Caenorhabditis elegans: one gene and its partners. The protein of the gene in region 1 interacts with the protein of each later gene in a pairwise test. Each region holds a gene or a part of one and is shown in the gene's direction. Other genes may lie near its edges.

Region 1 (5,279 bases):
TCGGCAATTGCCGGTTTTTGGAATTTCTGGCGATCGGCAATTTCGTCACTTGAAGAATTCTAAAATGCCTACAAATCGGCAATTTCGGCAAATTCCCAATTTTGATAATTTCTGAAATTGATAGATTCCAATTTTTCGGAAATTCTGGCAAACTCATTAAATGCCAAATTCCAAAATTTTCAGGCAATCGGAAATTGTGGCAAGCGCGGGTTTTCGGTTTTTTAGAATTTACTGTTTTAGAATTTCTAGACATTTTAAACATTCTGAAATTTATTTTTGAAGCTTGACAAGATTTTAGTGTTTCTTAATTAAAAACTAATTTTACAATTTTTTCAATAAATTTTCACTACCTGCATGCAATCTTCAAACTGTTGGTATTCTGGATAAACTGAAAAAATAATTTTCATAATTTCATTGTTTTTTTGTTGCAAAATCATATTTTAAACCGATTAAATTGCGCTTAGTATGATGTGTGTTTAGAGCGATGATCAAAGCGGAACGTATGCCTCATCATCGGGAATCGCAAAAAAACCTGTCCTTTTGGATGAGAAAAGTCAATTTTGACGGCGAGAAAAGGCTTTTTGATATCTTTTTTAGATGATTTTTATAAGAGTCACTATCTTGATAGTAGTTTTAAAGTATATTTTAAATTATATTTTGGATTAAAAAATTATTTTAAAGCAGTCAAATAACAGCCCCCGAACTTTTCAAATTCCGAAAACGCAAAAATTTAACTACATAACAACGAAAAAACGAGAAATTTCAACAATTTACGCTTGTGAGAGTCTAAAATAAAGTAGTTTCAAAAAATTGGAAAAAAATGTTACAAAAATTCCAGTTCAGAAAAATAAGAAAAATCTATCGATCATTAGATTCTCTGAAAACTACGCTCAAATTTTCTGATTTTTTTTGCCGTTTTGAATTGATGGAACATTTTTTTTTGAATTAGGTTAGGATGTGTTGATCAAGTTTTTTCAAAATACAAAAATTTCAAAATCGAACTCAGTTTGCACCTCCATAACTGAGTCACACAAACTTCTATAGAAACATTTTGTTTTGAGAACCCCCGTTTTTGGTTTTTAAGCAAGTTTTTTTTGAATTGAAAATGCAAAATGTATCTTTCTGCAAAAAATAATTCTAAAATTCCTTTCCAAAAGCCAGTTTCTGATCAGGTTTTTTGGCATACATTGCTGGTATTGTTAATGCCAACAAACCGTGACTCATCCTATTTTCATTCAAAAAGGCTTCTTTTTCTTTCAATGTAGGTTTTTTCTTTAAGACATTTGAATTTATAAAATTTACATTCAGCTTAATATTTAAAAATAATAATAGGGTTAGTCATGCAATTTTGTGACATGTATCAAAATATATTTTATGGCGTCATTAAGTGTATTTCACTTGTCTTTAATTTCGTTTTGGTAGCTCAGTTTGTGAACTGGTAAAATAAAATATAATTTCTTCTTGATTGAATACACTCATAAATAACAAATTACGGCAATTGAAAGTTTCCAAAAAAATCAGTTCAGCTAAATTCTTGGCCTTATTTTTTTTTGACTACTTTGGAAAAAAACAATCTAAATCTGCGTAGTACATGTCTGAGTAGTACGATATGTATAAAGAATGGCAATAATTTAATTTTAAAAATTTCCACAAATATGTATGTTTTGCAAAACATTTTTGATCCGTAACTCCTTTTTTTAATTTCGAAAATGATTAACGGTTCCCATTAATTGAGAATAACGATTAACTAAACTAAACTATCTTTACAGCCAGCAAAAATGACTCATCTCAGAATACATTTTATAGTTTGAAACACATTGTTTTTTCATCTCTCTGGCTAAGTTCCTCCTTGTGATTTTTGTACACTAAAGTTGTCGACGAAGCTTCTCAAAGTCACGAGAAATGCTCCAGTAATTCTTTGCTCTTTTTCCTGAGCCTCAGGTATGAGCAATGTTTTGTATTGAAAGCTCTTGCTCATTATTTTAATTTGGAACGTATTCCTGAGTTATTTTTAGTGACAGAATACCTAGTTTTGAGTCGCTACTCAGAAAAAGTTATGTGATATTTGATATGTTTGTCGATAGTATTGAACAAGGGGGGTGAACAGGAAGTGAAGTGATGGGCCCACATATTTGCATATCAAACTACTATTTCCTGTTTCTCATAAGTTTGCACTTGCCTAGCCTAGCAAGACCTTCGTTTCTTATTTGGAAAATGTCCCACTTTGAAATTTTCTGAAATTTCCAGAAATGCCCAGAAATTTCTTACGCTCTTTCCTTGTGCCGCCAAGAGAAAATGTTAAATATGTTATGATCATGATGCCCACTCACTCAATTTTTCACCAAATAAAAAATGATAACGGCCCCCGTTTTCACATGACTCATCCTCTCAGCACTATATAATTTCAGTTTTTCTCCAGAATTGTAGACACTCTGGCAACACTGCTGCTTTTTCTCTTTTCGTTTTCATTAATAAAATATAAAGTTTAAAATTTTAAAATTTTCAGACTCTCCACAAAATGCGTCCAGTCGTCTTTACACTTTTGATCACACTTTTGCTCGCCAGTTCTGTGCAAGCCGATTGGTGGGACGGGTTCACTGATACGGTAGGTTAAGAAAAAGCTTTATGTCTGCTTGCCTATGTGCCTGCCCATCTTTTTTTTTTGTGTCTGGTCGTTCTAATACTTACTTCTAACTTCCCACTGATTTGGACAATTTCCAAAAGGCAAGGCAGGCATAGACAGGCAAGCCTACAAAAAGCCACGTGCCAAACTTTTGTAACTAAATGTTTAAGAATTTAAAAATTCGCTCAATTTTTACGTGGCCTTCGGATTTTTTTGGATTCTCTAACTTTTCAATCACGTATTTTTTTAACAAAAAAACAATTATTTTTGAATTTCTTTTTCAAAATCTGACCAAAATTCGAGATGGAGAAGCTCACCAACTTCTATAACAATCATAAAGACGCTTATATCAGTCAGGTAGATAATGTAATTTCAACATTAAAAATCTGCAACGATGTACCTGCCTACAGAGCTAAGCCTTTTTGCCCTCAGCCTATGCCTCTAAGTGCCTTAGCGTTTTGAGAATTATTTGCCAAAGCTTTTCTCAAAAACAAAAAATTACATCGCAAACTCTGAATTTCCGTTCTTGCAGGTCAGCGGAGGTCTGAACAATGCCGCCGGATGGTTCAAGGAGACGGCGTCTCCAGCAATCCGTGACAAGTTCAACGAGTACAAGGAGAAGCTTCAGGACCCGGAAACCCACAAGAACATCCGAGAATGGGTTGCAGAGAAGTACGAGGCCGCATCCGAATTCACAAAGGAGGAGATTGTTCCGGAGCTTAAGAAGGTGTACGAGGCGGCCACTGCTGATGTGACGACGAATGAGCCGAAAGAGGAGAAGGAAGTGACTTTAGATGATAATTGATTTAATTAATCAATTATTATTTATTTATTCACATATTTTTCTTATGCATTACTCAAAGCCCACGTTTATCATGTGCCTTATTCCAATGACGAATTGTAGTTGTATTTGTTCAAAAGCAAGCATAAAATGTTTTTTCTGTAATATTGAATTGTTTCAAAAAAGTTTCAAAATGTGGAAATTTGCGATATTTCAAATATGAACTGTGACAACTCCACAGAACCAAGTTGCATAATGAGATTTCTTTTAAAAAAGTTTGCACGGTTTTATTTTAAAGTTTTGAACATCCATAAAATATTGGTGAAAATTCAAGAGGCCTCGTTGTTAAATTTGGTTTGTGCGTCTACCAAGGGAAGTATTTCAACTTAATACAGGGCTTCTGACTGAAACTTATGGCATTTGAAAAAAGCCTTCTGGCTAGGCCTTCTACAAATAATTTAGCGACAGAGGAGCACTTTGGAAAACAGTCGCTCTGAAAATGTTTCAGTGCATTTTTTCACAATTTTCTAGACCCGTAAAGGCTCCAACTGTGAAATTTTCAGATTTTTGATAATTTTTAGGATGTTCAGAAATGGACATTCGGAATTTTTCTTGGAATTTTTTAAAATTTTTTTTTCGTAAGTTCTAATAGTAAAAGTTGAAAATTGGACATGTCCTTGCTCGAATTTTCGAATCATTCTTCAACAAAACACTTCAAAAATTGTTTATCCCTGTCTCAAATCAGTTGCAAAAGTGAGTTTAAATTTTCTAAACTTTCAAGCGTATATAAAAAATTTCAGTTCCTCCCCGATACACCACCAATAAAACTGGAAAGATTAAATGGAAGGCGACCGATACGGATCAATAAAGCAACTAGGTAGGTATGTAGATTATAAGTTTTCCAGACATACTAAACTGAAGAAAAAACAAATTTTTCGCTTACAATACATCTCAGATAGACTGGAGTCACGGCAGAGCGATAGAAAATCACTGCTAATTAGCATTTATGTCACGGCTTAGTCAACCGCAGTAATTGTGCTTTTCCGCTGATTAGCGGTGATGTTTTGCTACGTAGTTATGCTTTCTTGCTAGCTAGTTTTGCTTTCATATTGGATTAAACTTTTATAAAACCATAAAAAATAACACGATTTATTATGAAAATGAAACAAAATGAAAAAACAACAGAAAAAAAACATTTAACGAAAAATGGAAAAAAAAACAAAAAACAAGTTTCGAAAGTATCAGAAAACAGGAGAACTAGTGAATTTATGGGGAGTCTGGGATATTTTCCCTTCCAGCAGATTTCGAAGTTGATAGAGAGTTCGAAGATGATTGAAAGTTCGAAGTTGATGGAACTTGCTCCTCATCGATATCCTCGCTGCTCTTGTAGAATTGTGTGCAATCGATGATGGGACGCTTTGGCAGCACAATTTTTGGTGGATTCTGGCCGTCGTGTTTTGTTCGATACAAACCACGGGCATGATCGCTGCAAAAAGACATTTGTGAAAACATAGTTTTTCAAGTTAAAGAAAAATTCTATTCGCTGGCTTTTTAAAGTAAATAACAAGAAACCTACAATCTGACTTTGATATGATGCTTGAACAGCATATTGACCACACTTGGAAGGCGAGTAACGTCCACCTGGTCGTTGTCCAACTTGATTGCCGCAGCGAGAAGAGCTGAAAACGATTTTTATGTGGCTCGCCCATGTAAATCATAAACTAACCGGCTGGCCAATTTGTCAAGTCTCCTGGGAAGAAAGTAAGAGGCTCCGTCTTTTTGCTTGTCGTGAAGGATCCTTGTTGCTCTCTCGGAATCAGCTGAAATGTTAAATAGTCAAAAATAGAACGTAATATTTGATCGCTCACGTAGTCA
Region 2 (4,929 bases), on another chromosome or scaffold:
GAATGAATAATCTTAAAAGGAGGTTGTTAATTCATGTTTTTAGGTTGAGCTGTGCTTGAATATGTTTGCTGCAATTTCAATGATGCTTCAATTAGTTTCCGATATGATGCCCAAAGCCTCGCGTCTTCCATTACTAGGTAAATGAAGTCTAATTATTTTTATCCATCTATTATTTTAAATGTAGGCAACTATATTATTGCTGAAATTTTTGTGGTTACTGCAGCTACAATTGCTGCAATTGTTATTCAACATGTTCATCATCATGTTCACACAAATGCAACGTGCCCTCCAAAATGGTGAATATATGAATAATTAATTAATTATCTCTACTTTTTAATAGGTTACGATGTCTCGTACTATGTGATTGTATGAGGGAAGAATTCCCTTCTAAAACCAGTTCTGTATCCAGTATGGATGTTCCCGAGAACATCATTGCGCCTGTTTCTCTTCTGAAGTCGTCATTACATAAGGTAAACCACCATGATTTGAACATTAATTGATATATTTTAGACTGCGTTTCTTGTTCGTGACACTCTGCAAGAAATGTCTCGCATTAATGAAAATCAGTTGCTCTGGCTCAAAATTCTGGATAAAACTGATCTAATGTGTCTTATTCTGTTTCAAGTTGCCAATGTTGTAATAACAATTGTATATTGGAAATAAAAATCAAAAATAACTTTCAATAAATTTATATTTACCCGTTTAAAAAATTTGATCAATTCATAGGGATAGATAGTCCTAGTGGCAAAAATTGGGTACTTGTTTGACAGTAAATTAAAAAATATTTAAAACGTCTCTAAAGCACCCTCAAAACAAATGATCGGTTTTAGTGAAGAATAATTTATATTAACAACTTTCCTGCGCGAGAACATGGAATGTTTGGACTTTTTTAGAGTATTGTTTTCTGCGGGGTTGACAAATTTTCAAGAGTCCCTAGGCCTTCTACAGTGCCGGCCATAATTCTATCCAATTTTAGTTTTTTGACAATAACTTGTTTCAAAGTGATTCGTTTGAGTTGAAAATTCACTATAATATGAAAATGATCAAAACATAACTATTACTGCAAGAATTATAAAAAAAGCAAAATTTAAAAAAATTTCGGGGAATTTTCAAAAATTCGAAAAAGTGAAAATTATCTAAATTCTGAAAATAGGTTCTTTGTGAACTGGATCGGTTTTATCTGTCTACGAAACTGTCATTAAACTAGTAAATGAATCTTTGTGAATTTATTTTTGGCAATTAAAACTTAGGTGTCACGTGACAACAGACCATAAGCTTACCTGCAACTTGCAAGTGCTTGAAAATGGAAGAGTCTTTCTATTTTCAGTCATTGTGGCTATGAAATCAGTCTCATTCATTTTTAAATTAGGTTTTCTACATTGTTCAAGACTATTCTATTGATTTTGTATAATGTTTCTATCTATCTCGCTGGATATAAGCATCGCAGAGACACTCAGTGCTTACCAAGTATGTCAATTTTTGTCTTTGCCGCCTTGGTAAAGCTACCCTAACCCCCTTTTTTTCTAATGTGTGCAAAAAGTCAAGCAGTCAGAGTGAGGGATGGTAAAGCTATCGCACCTGCAGCAAACTAACTTCAAAATAAATTATGGTTTTATAAATTAGGGTAAATTAGGTTTTGGTTTTCTCAAATGTTTTTTTTCCGCAAACGTTATTGGATTTGGCCTATATATATTCTCCAGGCCAACTAGAAAGCATTCAGCTGGCTAAAAACACGCGGTTATCGGTATATTCATAATTGAACAAGGCTTCCCTCAAGTGACTAAAAAAGCTTGTTTAATTACATGAAACGGATGAACTAGAAATTCTTTAATTTCTTTTTCGATGACCGTGATGTTTTACTTTATTTCAAAAATAATTCCAAAAAACATCCAGAAACTTTTTTATAAAGGTTGTTTTTTCTCCGCTTCAACCTCGACCTTTCTTTATCTCCACGGTCAATCTGCCCTAGATCCGTCCGTATAAAAGATCGGAAAATGTGTAATTCAAATCAGTCTCTGCTCGAATCACCGATTCTCTACTCACTCGACTACTTCTCTGCAATGGATCAAATCCCACCGTACGAGTTCAATAAGTACGTGCTCTACGCTCGTGGTGCCGTCATCGTGTGTGCTTCATTTGAGGTTCGTTCTGTGCCGTTCGTGGTCCTCGGAGGACTGGTCCTGGTTTTTAAGGGCTGGCCTCTAAAGACTTGTCCTGGCTCTTGGTCTTTTGCCCGTTTTCCAGAATGTATAGAACATCATGAAATATTTGCAGCTCCTGATGGTTCTGTTCGGTTCCCTCGGCGATTGCAATTTCCTTGCCAAGCTATTCTACTTCATCTTCCTCGGTGGAGCAGTTGCCGTCTCATCGCACAACATTGCTCTCAACATTGATGGTCGCGAGGAGATCAACAAGGTTCTTACCTCGTCTGACAATGAAGTTCGTGGAAAGTCTGCCGCATTGGTTCTTGTCCCAGCTCTTGCTGGTATCTTCGTCTTCTTGTGTGTTTCTGGGCATGCATTCTTCTCACTTTTCGTGCTCATCCACGTGCTCGCCGCTGTTGGACAACTCGGAATTGAAGCTTATGAGTTCAAGAAGGGACAATCTGGAGCTCCAGCACAAGACCCAGCCGCCACTGCACCACCAGCCCAGGATCCAGTTGCAGCTCCACCAGCACAGTAGAAAGAATACTTGGGGGTTTTTGAAATAAAAGTTTTTACTTGCTCTTTTTGATCAGGAATGTAATCTGCAAATTCTGCTAGACTCGGTCGCCAAAAAACCTGGAAAAACTAAGTGCTCTTTTCTACTGTAGTTTCAGAAGAGTGAGCATCTTGTTGTAAGAGTAATATTTTGTTGTGGTTAGTCCGAAGAGAGGCTTCTGTGATTACTTAAAAACTATCGTAACTATCAACTTTTTGAGCAAATACTGGGTTATTGGAGTACTTTAGTATGATTGCTGTTCGTTTCGCTGGGTTATTTCAAGGATTCTCGCAAACTGGAATAATTCAAACACTTTCTAAATGCTCAATAATCTTTATTATTAGTTCCAACTCCAACAAGAGAAACATTCATTTTCTTCCCCATCCAAGTGGAGTCGGTGGACGATAGATGGTATGTCTTGCATTTGCAGATGGGATGAAATTGAATGAACTTGGCTGAGGAGCTCTTCTAGCTGGGTTGAACAGTGATGGTAGAATTTGATTAGTTGGAATGAATTGCTGTAAAGTATTATACGTTTCTTTTGCTTGAAAGTTTGAAATCAGCCTACCGCGGAAACCGAGAAAATGGCGAAAGCAAGGAAGATGCAGGCGGTGAACAGTTGCATTATGAGATGCGCTTTTTGGACTTCACCGAAAAATGGTAAATTTATATGAAAACATTTACGAGCTCCCTCCGATTGTAGTGTTCAAAAACATAACAGGTTTCATAAAATATTCTGACCCCTCCGACAATCGAGAAAACTCTAAACATTTTAACTACACCCCTTTGATTTTTTTGAGAAGAAATCAAATTTTGCAGTGGTTTTTTCGGAGGGACCTCATCAAACTGGGAATATAAAAGAACGCGTTTTGTGTAGTATCATTAGCAAAGTCTTTGAAAATGCAAATATTCAATGCCTATATCTTCCTTGTCTTCACAATTTGCTCAGTTTCTGCGGTAAGTTTTAAATGATCAAACTCAAATAATATTATATTATTCAATCAGCAATTCTATCCATGGTCAATGGCTTTTCAACCAGTTGATCACATTGAACCATCAATCTTCAATCCAATTCCACAAGCTCCAGAGCCAAATTTGTTCAATTTCATTCCATCTGCAGTTGCACAGCATACTATCTGTGCATACTATATATCAATCGTCCACCAACTCCACTTGGTTGGGGAAGAAAATAAATGTCTCTCTTGATGAAATATATAATAAACATATTCAAGCATTCAGAAAGTCTTTATTTTATTGCACACTCCCCCTAATGTAACAAGTTTAAACCGTTTTACAGTTGTTTTCATCCTATTACGACATTGTTAATACATTTTTTAACATTATAAACTGGAATTTCTGACATGTGTAGTGTTCGTAAGTGTAAGTGTTCAATAAGTAATCACAATTAAAAGTATCTACGAGCAAGATTTCAAAATTATCAAAAACTTTGAATATTATGTTTATATTTCTTGTACGTTCTTTCTAAACTCTGTGCCTATTGGTCGGCCCAAAACAAATCGTTAAAAAAACAGATGAACACTTGGATAATATAGTTTCAATTGCGAGTCCCTGATGAACCTGTGACTCAAAGTGAAGTTCCTCGCAATCTGCTGACACTCTGAAAAGGGTCGCGGGTCGATCCATGTTTACGCCTAACAAGTTAGAAAGCTACAATTTTTGCGAATCCCATCCAATCATGCAATCTCTGCCTTTGTTTTGTTTTGTTGTCAATGTTCTTGAAATGTGATTTTCTGAAATGTTGTGGAAATCATCATGTGAACGCATCATTTTATTTTCCAATCTCAGTCATCTTTTCCCCGTATAAAAGATTCTTCTAAAGTTTTGTTTCTACATCATATACAAAATGACGGGATTCTCAAGTGTATTCCTAAGCATTCTTTTTTGTATTTTCTTCCCATACGTTGTCTATTCGGCCAGTTCTACAAAATTCAATTTCTCTGGAACAATCACATGTAATGCCACCATGAAAGATTCATTTGTCGAGAAGCTGCAAGTATGGGAACATGATAAAGCGTTAGTTTGAATATAAATTTTTATGAAAATCTATTGAAAATATGTCAGAACACCAAATGATATGATAGGAGAGGTAGCACAATTTATTAAAGACAAATCTGGTTTCTTTTATAAAGTTGACGCAGAAGACAATGGGGATGGACTATTTGATGTAGGTATTGTTGTGATTCTAAAATTTTGCTGTGACTTATAGGA
Region 3 (4,691 bases), on another chromosome or scaffold:
CAGCGTTTTCCAGTGTATCCAAGGTTACAGAGACAAGTCAGCTGGTTAGTGGTTCCAAAGCACAATCCATGTCCGTTACAGTCGCGAGCCGAGTCGCAAACGGCTGAAAATAATCCACGTAGGGGTTGGAGGCAATCTAGTATGAAGGCAGATAGATGCACCTGCCGATTAGTAAAGCCTTAAAACTAAAAGATAAAACCTTACTCTCTTCACAAGTCTTTCCAGAAAATCCCAATTGGCATGCGCAGAGGAATGTTTTCTTTGTTCCGAGACAAGTTCCACGGTGATTACAGTCGATGGCTCCGCAGGATTCGAGGCTTGAACGGGATAGGAGACTGTTCTCTTCTTCTTCACGTTCTCGAGCAGTTTCTTTCAGACTTTCTACCTGAAAGTGGTCAGAATCAAAACTTGAAATGTTTCAAACATTTTCAGAGTGTGTAAGAAATCTTCAATTATTTTTTTCAGAAATTCCAATTCAAATTCTAGAAACTTTCTGAAATTTTCACGGGATTTTAAAAATTACCAGCTTTCCTAAAAGTTTACAGAAAATTCTTTTAAAAAATTCAAAAACGTTTGGAGGTTTTCAAAAGATCCCTAGGTTTTAACTTTTTCTAGGAGTTTTTTTTTATTTTTAAATTTTACCAGAAGCTTCTAAAGCTTCTAAAAATGTTTCAGAAATTTTCAAAAGGTAAAAAAAATTCAAGCAGTTTTCAGAAGGCTCTAAAATTATCTGGTTTTTTTTCTTCTAAATTTTCCAAAAGACGTTCTAAAAGCTTCCAGGTTCTTGAGCTTCCAGAATTTTTATAAATTTCTAGCACGTTCTATCTAGTTTTATACAGAAGTTACTAGAACCTCTGCAGTGTCAAAAACTTATCAGAAAAATTTAAATTTTAAATTTTGCGCCAAAAAAACCGACCGCCTTGTCGAGTTCAGCCTTCACTTCCTCTTGAATATCATTTGCATCAACTTCCCTCTTTTTGTCAGTTTTTTCTTCGGCTTCCACATCTAAATAAATTATTTACTGTGAGGTAGAGAAAATAAAATTTCAAAATAAAATTATCCAACAAAAAAACTAGATAACTTTCAATTTGAAAAGTTCGTAAGTTCACTCCGGGAGATAATTGATGTTGAAAAGGTATTTGATATACGATCCTTTAGTAATTGTAATACATCAAATAACTGGTACACGTCATTTCGAAAAATAAACCATTGAATTACCTGATTCTGAAAAATTTTCTATAAAAATTTTTGAAGAAGTTTCTGGAAGCTAAACGATTCTAAAATTTTCCCGATTAGAAAAGAGGATCTAATAAAGTTCTAGAGGATTCTAAAATATTTTGAAGTTTATTGAAAATTTCTAAAAACTGCCAGGTGGTCTCTAGCAATGTTGAGAACTTTTTTTAAAAACTTTCTGGACTGTCCTAAGAAACTAGAACATTCTGAAATTTTCTGATACTTCTTGGATTTTTTTGGAGCACTGTGAAAATTCCAAAAAAATTCTGAAACTTTCTAAAACTTTCTGGGACTTTCCAAAATGTTTTCTAAAAAATTCTAAAAAAATTCTAATATTTTCTTAACTCATCTTTATTATATATTTTACCTGAAATTTCAACTTCTCCTGAAATTGTCTTATTTCCCACATCGTCCACTTCAATCACGTGCACTTTTTCGGCATGAATCCACGTGACCAAGACCAGGAAAATTCCAAAAATTGTCGCGGAGGTTTTAACAAACATTTTTTTTATCTGAAAGTTGATTTCTTGGAACTTTTCATGATGACAATTGACAAAAAAGTGGTAGATATTATTCCCAAAACACTATACATATTAGAATACAAAATCTAAACAAAAAAATAACGACACAAACACAAAAGTAACAATTTGGCGTGGTTACGTAACAGTTTTGTGCCCCTATTCCACCTTTGCCCCGTGAGGGTGGGCCGGTTTTAGGGGGATAAATTAGGGAAAAAAGTCAGGAAGCGTGTCGAAATCGGCGAGATCCAAAAAACCAGATGATTATATAATAGGAGGGGTGGTTGTTTCGAGGATACTCTTTTGGTCAGATTTATTGTATTTTAGTTAGGCTATATACTTGATGGCTAAAGTAGTTCTGAAGATGGTTCAGAACAATAGGAACAATTGTCGAAAAGTTCCAGTTTCTAGCATTTCGGCTAGTAAATTGTTGGTGTTTAACAGTAACAAAATAGTAACTTGTGGAAAAAACCAACCGATGGAAGTGATTTCGTGAGCTACAAACTACAATTCTACAAACTGCAATTTTCACAGATTTCGAAATATAATATTACTATAAACTATACCCATGCAATCTAGAATTTTCAGATTAAACAAATTAAACCAAAACTGTTACGCGAGTTACAGATTGAATACTACCAATTAGAAATTAGAAACTGTAAACTACAAACCACAAACTACAAACTACAGACCTGAAGTTGATAACTATAGAGTTGAGACAAGAGACTGAAACGTGCAACTCCACTTCAAAAACTTTTCCTAACAACTGAAATCTATAAAGTTGAAGCTACGGAAGTGCAAACTACAAACTACAAACTAAACTATGAAAGCGTACCCAATACATTGTTTAATATGTCCTAGAGTTCCTGAAAATGGCAGAAAACTAGGAATTCAAAAATGGCCGTGAAACAAAAAAGTTATAATTTTCAATTTTTTAATTTTTTAAAGGGTTTTCAAAAAATAAAATAATTTCACGCATCGGCCCGACAATTCCCTATCGCCACGTTTAATCTGCCCCAGTTTCGTCCGTATAAAAGCTCGAAAAAATGTGAAATCAAATCAGTCTCTGCTCGAATCATCACCGATTTTCTACTCGCTCGACAACGATCTCTCGCAGCTACAATGGATCAAATCCCACCATACGAGTTCAACAAGTACGTGCTCTACGTCCGTGGTGCCGTCATCGTCTGTGCTTCATTTGAGGTATGTTTGGGGATTTCTGGGAGGTTTTGTAAAGATCTCGCCCTGACCAGGTCTTTCCTTGGGGATTTTAATACAAGCGTAGAAGATTTTCTGTGTGGGCAATGAAGGGTAATTGCCGGTTCGCCGAATTTCCCGATAATTTGAAAACGGCAATCTGTCGGCTTTGCCGTTTGTCGGAAAACTCCATTTTCGGCAATTTTCAGCATTCCGAATTTTCCGTTTGCCGGTCATCCCTAAATGTAGCCTTTTTCATCTAAAACCTTTATAATTTTCAGCTCCTGTTGGTCCTATTCGGTTCCCTCGAAGATTGCAACTTCCTTGCTAAGCTCTTCTACTTCATCTTCCTTGGCGGAGCAGTTGCCATCTCAGCTCACAACATTGGTCTCAACGTGGATGGTCGCGAGGAGCTCAACAAGGTTCTTTCATCGTCAGAGAATGAAGTTCGTGGAAAGTCTGCTGCCTTGATTCTGGTGCCAGCGCTCTCCGGTGTCCTCGTCTTCTTATGTGTCTCTGGACATGCATTCTTCTCGCTTTTCGTGCTCATCCATGTGCTCGCCGCCGTTGGACAACTCGGAATTGAGGTTTATGAGTTGAAGAAGGGACAATCTGGAGGTTCTGCACGAGGTGCTGCACCGTCAGCACAGGATCCAGCTGCTGCTCCACCAGCCCAATAGACGAAGAAAATAAATCTGATATAAATGGAATAAATTGGAGTTTTTATTATTATTCTCGTTCAGATTTTTGTTTTGTATTTTCTTGAGATCGAACAGAGGCTCCCTGAAAAAAACGTTACAGGTCAGCAAAATATTTTTCTACTTCCGCGTATTAAAGAATTCTTGTCCGAAATAGAGAGGAAGTTTCGTAACACGTTTCGTAAGATTTGCCGTATATCATCTCGCGTAGTTTCGAGCAATTCTAAAAAATATTGTCAATTTCCATTCAGAATTTCTCAGTTTCCTCAGTTTTCCTAAGTTATTTTCTTATCGGACTCCTTATCAGTCGTCAATAAAATGGTAGGTGCTTACCATTTTTGCATTTTGTAATTTTCTGTAGACATGTCTTTGTGTCGCACATTTTTCTGTGTGAAGTGTTCACAATTCTTCGGTAAGTAGCAATTTAATTAAGTTTTGTTTAACTTATTAAACTTGGTAATATATTGTAGATATTTCATTAAAGGTGGAGTAGCGCCAGTGGGGAAATTGCTTTAAAACACGCCTATGGTACCACAATGACCGAATATCATAATAAAAAAATTCAAAAAAATTTTCCTGATTTTATATGATTTTTTGAAAATAGCAAAATTCTCAGTTTTTGCCTAATTCCTATTTGAATTTCCGCCAATTGAATTTGTTCGATGGAGCGCGCTTGCACGTTTTTAATTTAATTTATTTTATTTTTTGTTATTTTCCACCAATTTTTAATGTTTTCGGTGTATTTTTGCTCGAATTTTAGGGAAAAAGTCAAAATAAATGCAAATTTTCGATTAAAAAGCACGCTTACACGCGTAAATCAGTTAAATTAATTAATTTAGGTTCGAAATCGTTTAAAAGCGTTTCTTTTTCATTTTAACGCTTGTAAGCGAGCTTTTTAATCGAAAATTTGCATTTCTTTTGACTTTTTCCCTAAAATTCGAGCAAAAATACACCGAAAACATTAAAAATTGGTGGAAAATAACAAAAAATAAAATAAATTAAATTAAAAACGTGCAAGCGCGCTCCATCGAACAAATTCAATTGG
Region 4 (5,701 bases), on another chromosome or scaffold:
ATATCATATTTAAAACTCAGAATTTACACTAAAAGCTCAACAGATTATGGATTCCCAACCTAAAAAATACGCCCCAACATTTTTGCCTGAAAAGTAAGACTGAGTTCCTAAGAATAAAAATATGAGCCTGAAAAACTCAGCCGACCCTAAAAGGAGCAAAACGTGTTGTCAATTCCAATCATTACTTCACAGTTCAGGCTCCAGGTTCCATACTAAACTCAGTCGGTCCTGATCAAAAATTGTGTGTACAAGAAGGCTCACAGTTTTTTCCCTCTCTCGGAAAAAAGCACAATAAACTTACCAAATCACCTTTCGGCTGAACGAATACCCTCGAAATGAGTGCATTCACCGAGTTAATGGCTCCAACTTGCGACGCCATCGCTGGAGTTGCCACTCGATGTTTCTAGATGCTCTGAAATTGATAGGTTTCGGTTCGTTTTTTTTTTTGGCAAGGGGGTTAGGTGAAAATTGAAACAATACAATTTGGAGTGGGAGGATGGTTGTGTTGGAAAAAGCGCAACTCTCCCAATCATCCTCACCACCACTCGGTGTATTTATTGTTGTGTACATATGTACTTGTGTGTCTGTGAACAAGCTAAGGAGAGTGAAGAGAGAAAGATTCGTTTTCGAAAGGGAGGCGAATGCACTGTTTGAAAAGAAGAAGATGCTCGCGGAGCAGCGCGCCAAGAAGTGCAGGATTCTTTTCAATTGGGGCAGCGAAATGGTAACCTGAGATTTTGTTGAACTGTACAGGTGGAGGAGGTCTTTTGGGGTTGACCAGAGGAGCTTTTTTCAAAAAATGGTGGTTTCTGGAGGTCAAACTGCAATTCACCAAAAAAATTGCTGGAAATTAGGTTTTGAACTGTGTGTCACACGTGTTTCATTGTTAGCCAGCATGACGTCACAAAACTTAAAAATTGTCATATCCCGCGATTTAAGTAGATCAAACAACACTTGGTCGTAAAACATTGGGAAAAACTAAATCAGGACATGTTTTGAAATGAGATATACATAATTTTAAAAAAAAAACTACCCGTTTTCAGACAACTTTTGGGAAGTTTTGAATATATAAAACTGATTCAGGTACAGTTTTTTTTTTGAAGCACGGTTTTTTTTCGGACGGAAAAACACAAATTTTCAGTATTTTTATGAATTTTGTGGGGTTCAGTTCAGTTTTCAGTTTTGCCTATGGTACCACAATAAAAAATAGCATAGCGAAAAAATTGTTTTTTTTAATTTTTTATGATTTTTTGAAAATTGGAAAACTCTCAGTTTTTGCCACTTTTTTGGAAGTTCATTGATTTTTAAACAATGTTTTCAATAAAAAGTATTTGATTGTAGAAAACTAGTAAATTTTTTTTTTGGAAATTGGCAAAAACTATGAAAAATCAAGGAAAAATCAAGAACAACCTAAAAAATTGAAAGTACGGTACTCTTTAAAAGCGCACACCTATTTGAATTCTACAAAAACTTGTCGGGTTGAGACCGGGTACCATATTTTCAGCTCAAAAATTGTCAAATTTGCATTTAAACGCTTCTGAATAGTATAACAATTTCAGTTTTTAAAGCTCTAAAAAAAATTTTAAAGAAAGTTTTTCAAACAAAAAACTTAAAATCGTTTACCGAAAAGCAGCATTTTCGTATAAAAATAAATTGGAACTAAAAGGATTTTCCACAAAGTGAATGAGTGACACATACTGGGAGGTCATCATTTTTGATGTAATTATCTGAATGAAGAAGCTTCTGCTTACTCTTTTTTTTTCTTCATTCGATAAAGGAGGTATCTATGTTTGTATCGAATTGTGTATGTGTATTTTTTGTATTACACGGACAGATTATTGTTCGAAGGCCCCCCGCTTCCATTGCCACTGATGCGCGAGATGCTCTTTTATTGGTGAAAGAGAAGGAATGAGACATTTAGAACGAGGAGCAAATAGAGATTATGATGGCATGATGGATAAGAAGTTTTGATTCGAATCCTAATTTAGGGTCAAAACTTGTACAAATTAACAAACTGCAAAATCGATACAAATTATACAGTATTGTTGAGCTTCACGTTAATTATGTTTTTATTACTATAGTTAATTTTATAAAAAACGTGAAAATCCAAAAAGAAACTTTGAATCCAAATAACATTCCGTGGCACGAAATTCACGTTGAATTCTCTTATCATTCAATCAATCTAACCACAATCACTTTTGTCAAAAATCGATTTATTCCCTACTCGGATTCGTCAAAATCTTATCGATCAATTGGAATGTCGGAAACTTCAAGCGACAAAAATTGTTGTGAAACGCTGGAATGGATTCGTGAAAGAGTGCACAACAAGAAACACTTCACTGCACGTGGCATCGGACAAATCGTCGATGTGTCTGGAATGGATGCGGAGCTTGTTGTCAAAGTGCTCGCCGGAGCTCTTTTCGCAATTCTCGCGTTCAGTGATCAGGTAAGGAAGTTTTAATTTTCAGGAGGAACGGGATTTGTTAAGGGGCTTACCTTGACATTTGTTTCGTGGCCGTGTTCGCTTACAATTTCATATATTATTTCAGGCGCACTTCTTCGCCAACGCTCTACTCGTTGCGATCCCAGCATTGCTCATCTTCGTCTTTCCGATCGAAAAACCAACGGACGAGTCACTCTTCGTTTACTTCTCGTTGTTTGGCGCAGTGACGTGTCTGGATCGTAGCTTGGAGAAAATTCCATGCTATTATGTGATTAAGTTGGCACTTTTTGCACTGCTGTACCTGCCACCATACGTCATGCATCAGAAGATTAATGAATTCATTCGAGAGCAACTCAAGAAGCAGGTACGAGTGTTGTTGGGTCCAATCACCAGCAAAGCTTTTCAGCTACCTTATCAGAATACGGTAGTACGGTGGCTGAGAAGTTTCGCTCGTGGAAAATCCGAATAATCTCTTTCACTAAATAAGATTTTTCAGAAGAGCAATGAAAACGTGTCAGAGATGAGCCAAAGATCCGCACCAAGAACCGCCGCATCAACTAGAACTGCCATCTCGGCTCCACCACCGCCAAGACCACCACCACAAGAACCACCAAAGCCAGTTGAGCAAGCAGCACCACCGCCACCACCAGCTCCAATGCCAGTCCCTGTTGAGAAAGCTCCGGAACCAGTGCCAGCTCCTGTGGAACAGATTGCCCCACCACCAGCTCCGGTTCAGGATCCAGCTCCTGCACCAGTCGAACCATCTGATCCTGCTCCACCGTCGAAGCTTCCATCTCCATCAAAGAGTTGCACGGATCTTGCTGGAGGATCTCAACGTTTCAAAACCGGACCACACCCAATGCAATCTTCATCCTTCCACAATTTGAAGTCGGAATTTGATGGTTTCAATTCAGGTATGATATTAGGGAAATGCTAGCCTGCCTGCCTGCCTTCAAGACCATGTGACTACTGCCGAAGCACTATGTTACGGCCGGCAAGGAAGGCGAGTAAGAAGGCAGGCACACCTACCGCGGATCCTTTCAACCAGTTAATAATAATTTTTGCAGCTATTAGCCCTGGCCACAATTTGAATGATGTTCTGTTCCGCCCGATGGATAAGATTGTGTTCAATGCTCCATTCGACTTTGAAAATCTGACATATCACATGAGAGTTTCCAACAACAGCCGTCACCGCATTGCCTACGCAATCAAGGGAAACTCGGTGCCCCGTGTCATGGCTTACCCCGCATTTGGAATCTTGGAACTCGGAGAAGGACGAATCATTGCTGTGTCGGTGCAAAAGTTTGATTGGAATGATTTTGAGTACAACAAGGATCGTATCGCTTTCGACTACGTTTTGCTGCCGGATTCCAATAAGGAGAAGGCGTTCTCGATGAGTATGTTCCAGCATTCGGACTCGAAGCGTCGCAAGAATATCAAGATTGAGTACAATCCATAGAACTCTCTTACAGACTTACAGAGCTTACAGACATCGTATAAAATGCTATTTGAATTTCTTTTTTTTTTTGTTTTGTTGTTACTTTTGGCCGACAAAATAATGTCAAAGAAAATCGAAATCCTTGAGAAAATAGTTGTTGGATGACGCAAAAAGAAACGAGCCGTGGCAGACGACCGATTTTGCTTGTTCTCATTCCTTACGAGATGCGGTTGAAAATGAAAATGGGTCAGTATGATGTGACAAGGTTTTTTTTAGAGATCTGTCTTTGTTCCTTTTTTCGGATTTTTTCAAATTTATTTTTTACATCATAAACATTTTATTTAAAAAAGTGTTTTAGCATCCACCAGATTACCTCTGTCTAAATAAACATTCCACCCTGTGGAACTTCAATGGGTGTGGGGGCCTATGTTGTGCAAAATCTGTTAATGCTAAATGGCCTCAAATACATAGATAAAGTTCGGCCAGTCCCATCAAAATCGGTTTCACATAATTCTATATATGGTTTTGGATCCCCTTACCAAGCCATTTTTCGAGAAACATGCCAAAGTTTACGAAACACAGTAGAAAATAGAAAGTCAGATCCATTGAAACCGCTCTAGCTGAAGAACAGGTCGGTAACTTTTTCTCAAACTTTACGAGTTGGTCATTGAGATATTTTTCTACATTTCTAGTGTAATTTCAAAAACTTTCTATGCACAGTTTTTCAGAAAAGTGAGCAATCTTTAAAAAAGCTCGTGTTCTCTAACAAGGGGAGGTTCCCAAAGAATACATCAGACTTTGTTATAACATAAACTTGATAGGGTATGACTACTGTTAATCACTCCAAAAAATCATTCGGAGCTGGTTGAGACAAGTTACGATGCCCTGAAGCTGTCGAAAAATCCAGGTTATTTGAATTCAAAAAATTTCACAACTTTTGAATTTTTAAAATAATTTTTAATTTTACGGCAATTTCAGAAAGAACATGTTTTTTTGAATTTTCGTTAAAAAATCCACACCATGTGGTGCCTCGTCTGAATATTTTTCTAGGGCACTTTCCAGAATTCCTTCCCCAGCTAACCTAGAAGCTTAACCCTAATTTTTGGAAACACTATTCTTCTCCGAAATTCCTTTCCCACCTGATCCGTATCCTCCTCCTGCTTATTCCTCACTTTTTAAAAAAGAACGCTTTTCACTTTTCCTTATAGTTTTTCATAACTTCTTCATCACTCTCGAACCCTTCAAATCCGATAAGCCGGTCCGATTAGTGCAATGGTCATTTCACCGTTCCCCTTTCACCTGCCGGCGTGATATTTTCCGTCAATCCGTGCACTTTTTTGCTGGAGGAGGGCTTTTTCACTTTCCCTCATATTTTCGGACGTCTTTCCTCCTCCTCCTCTCCGATGTCTTGTTTTCTCTTCTCTTCGTGTCTATGCTTCTTCATCGAGGTCATCGGCGAAAAATAGGCGGAGCCTATGGGGAGGCATCTCGAGGCTTCTTTTCACCATCTTTTCACCCAATTTTCCATGGTTATCTTATTGTTAGCAGTAGTAATTCACGAACTTTTTTGTTTTACAGGTTTATACATACTATGAGACTTTGGACACTTTTTATATTTTTACTGCCAAAGCTGGTCAGTAGTCAACCGCAACAACCTCAACCATTGCAAGTTTGTCTGAGAGGTGAGAATTCTAGGAAATTTTGAGATTTGAAAAAGAAATATCAACTAGTAAAATAGTTAAAACGTTTATCAACCTGCCCATGGTTTTATCTAGAACATGAAATTCCTATTTAGTTAGGTAGATTTACAAAATCCTCTT

What was found.
Region 2: the proteins of K02B7.3 (region 1) and F17E9.5 interact in a two-hybrid assay, tested with the Caenorhabditis elegans proteins (one large-scale study listed by BioGRID).
Region 3: the proteins of K02B7.3 (region 1) and Y38C1AA.7 interact in a two-hybrid assay, tested with the Caenorhabditis elegans proteins (one large-scale study listed by BioGRID).
Region 4: the proteins of K02B7.3 (region 1) and C36H8.1 interact in a two-hybrid assay, tested with the Caenorhabditis elegans proteins (one large-scale study listed by BioGRID).

Annotation. Positions count from the first base shown.
Region 1 is NC_003280.10:14,692,525-14,697,803, reverse strand, and holds K02B7.3 (DUF148 domain-containing protein), read left to right. Parts: upstream 1-2,502; 5' UTR 2,503-2,518; coding exon 2,519-2,605; intron 2,606-2,887; exon of another isoform or gene 2,888-2,926; coding exon of another isoform or gene 2,927-2,980; intron 2,981-3,155; coding exon 3,156-3,428; 3' UTR 3,429-3,612; downstream 3,613-5,279.
Region 2 is NC_003282.8:8,343,823-8,348,751, forward strand, and holds F17E9.5 (DUF7087 domain-containing protein), read left to right. Parts: upstream 1-1,995; 5' UTR 1,996-2,060; coding exon 2,061-2,141; intron 2,142-2,274; coding exon 2,275-2,682; 3' UTR 2,683-2,724; downstream 2,725-4,929. Other genes in the region: lgc-5 (Neurotransmitter-gated ion-channel ligand-binding domain-containing protein), read left to right, coding at 44-137, 185-296, 341-470, 511-663; F17E9.18 (Neuropeptide-Like Protein), read right to left, coding at 3,069-3,218, 3,269-3,325; F17E9.15 (uncharacterized protein), read left to right, coding at 3,601-3,657, 3,706-3,906; F17E9.4 (TransThyretin-Related family domain), read left to right, coding at 4,565-4,734, 4,783-4,885.
Region 3 is NC_003282.8:156,155-160,845, forward strand, and holds Y38C1AA.7 (DUF7087 domain-containing protein), read left to right. Parts: upstream 1-2,807; 5' UTR 2,808-2,873; coding exon 2,874-2,954; intron 2,955-3,229; coding exon 3,230-3,628; 3' UTR 3,629-3,682; downstream 3,683-4,691. Other genes in the region: gegf-1 (EGF-like domain-containing protein), read right to left, coding at 1-103, 205-385, 917-1,005, 1,601-1,736; Y38C1AA.19 (RING-type domain-containing protein), read left to right, coding at 4,010-4,058.
Region 4 is NC_003282.8:12,741,295-12,746,995, reverse strand, and holds C36H8.1 (Major sperm protein), read left to right. Parts: upstream 1-2,182; 5' UTR 2,183-2,257; coding exon 2,258-2,446; intron 2,447-2,549; coding exon 2,550-2,807; intron 2,808-2,939; coding exon 2,940-3,357; intron 3,358-3,510; coding exon 3,511-3,902; 3' UTR 3,903-3,959; downstream 3,960-5,701. Other genes in the region: inx-6 (Innexin-6), read right to left, coding at 302-379; T23F6.5 (MAM domain-containing protein), read left to right, coding at 5,473-5,563.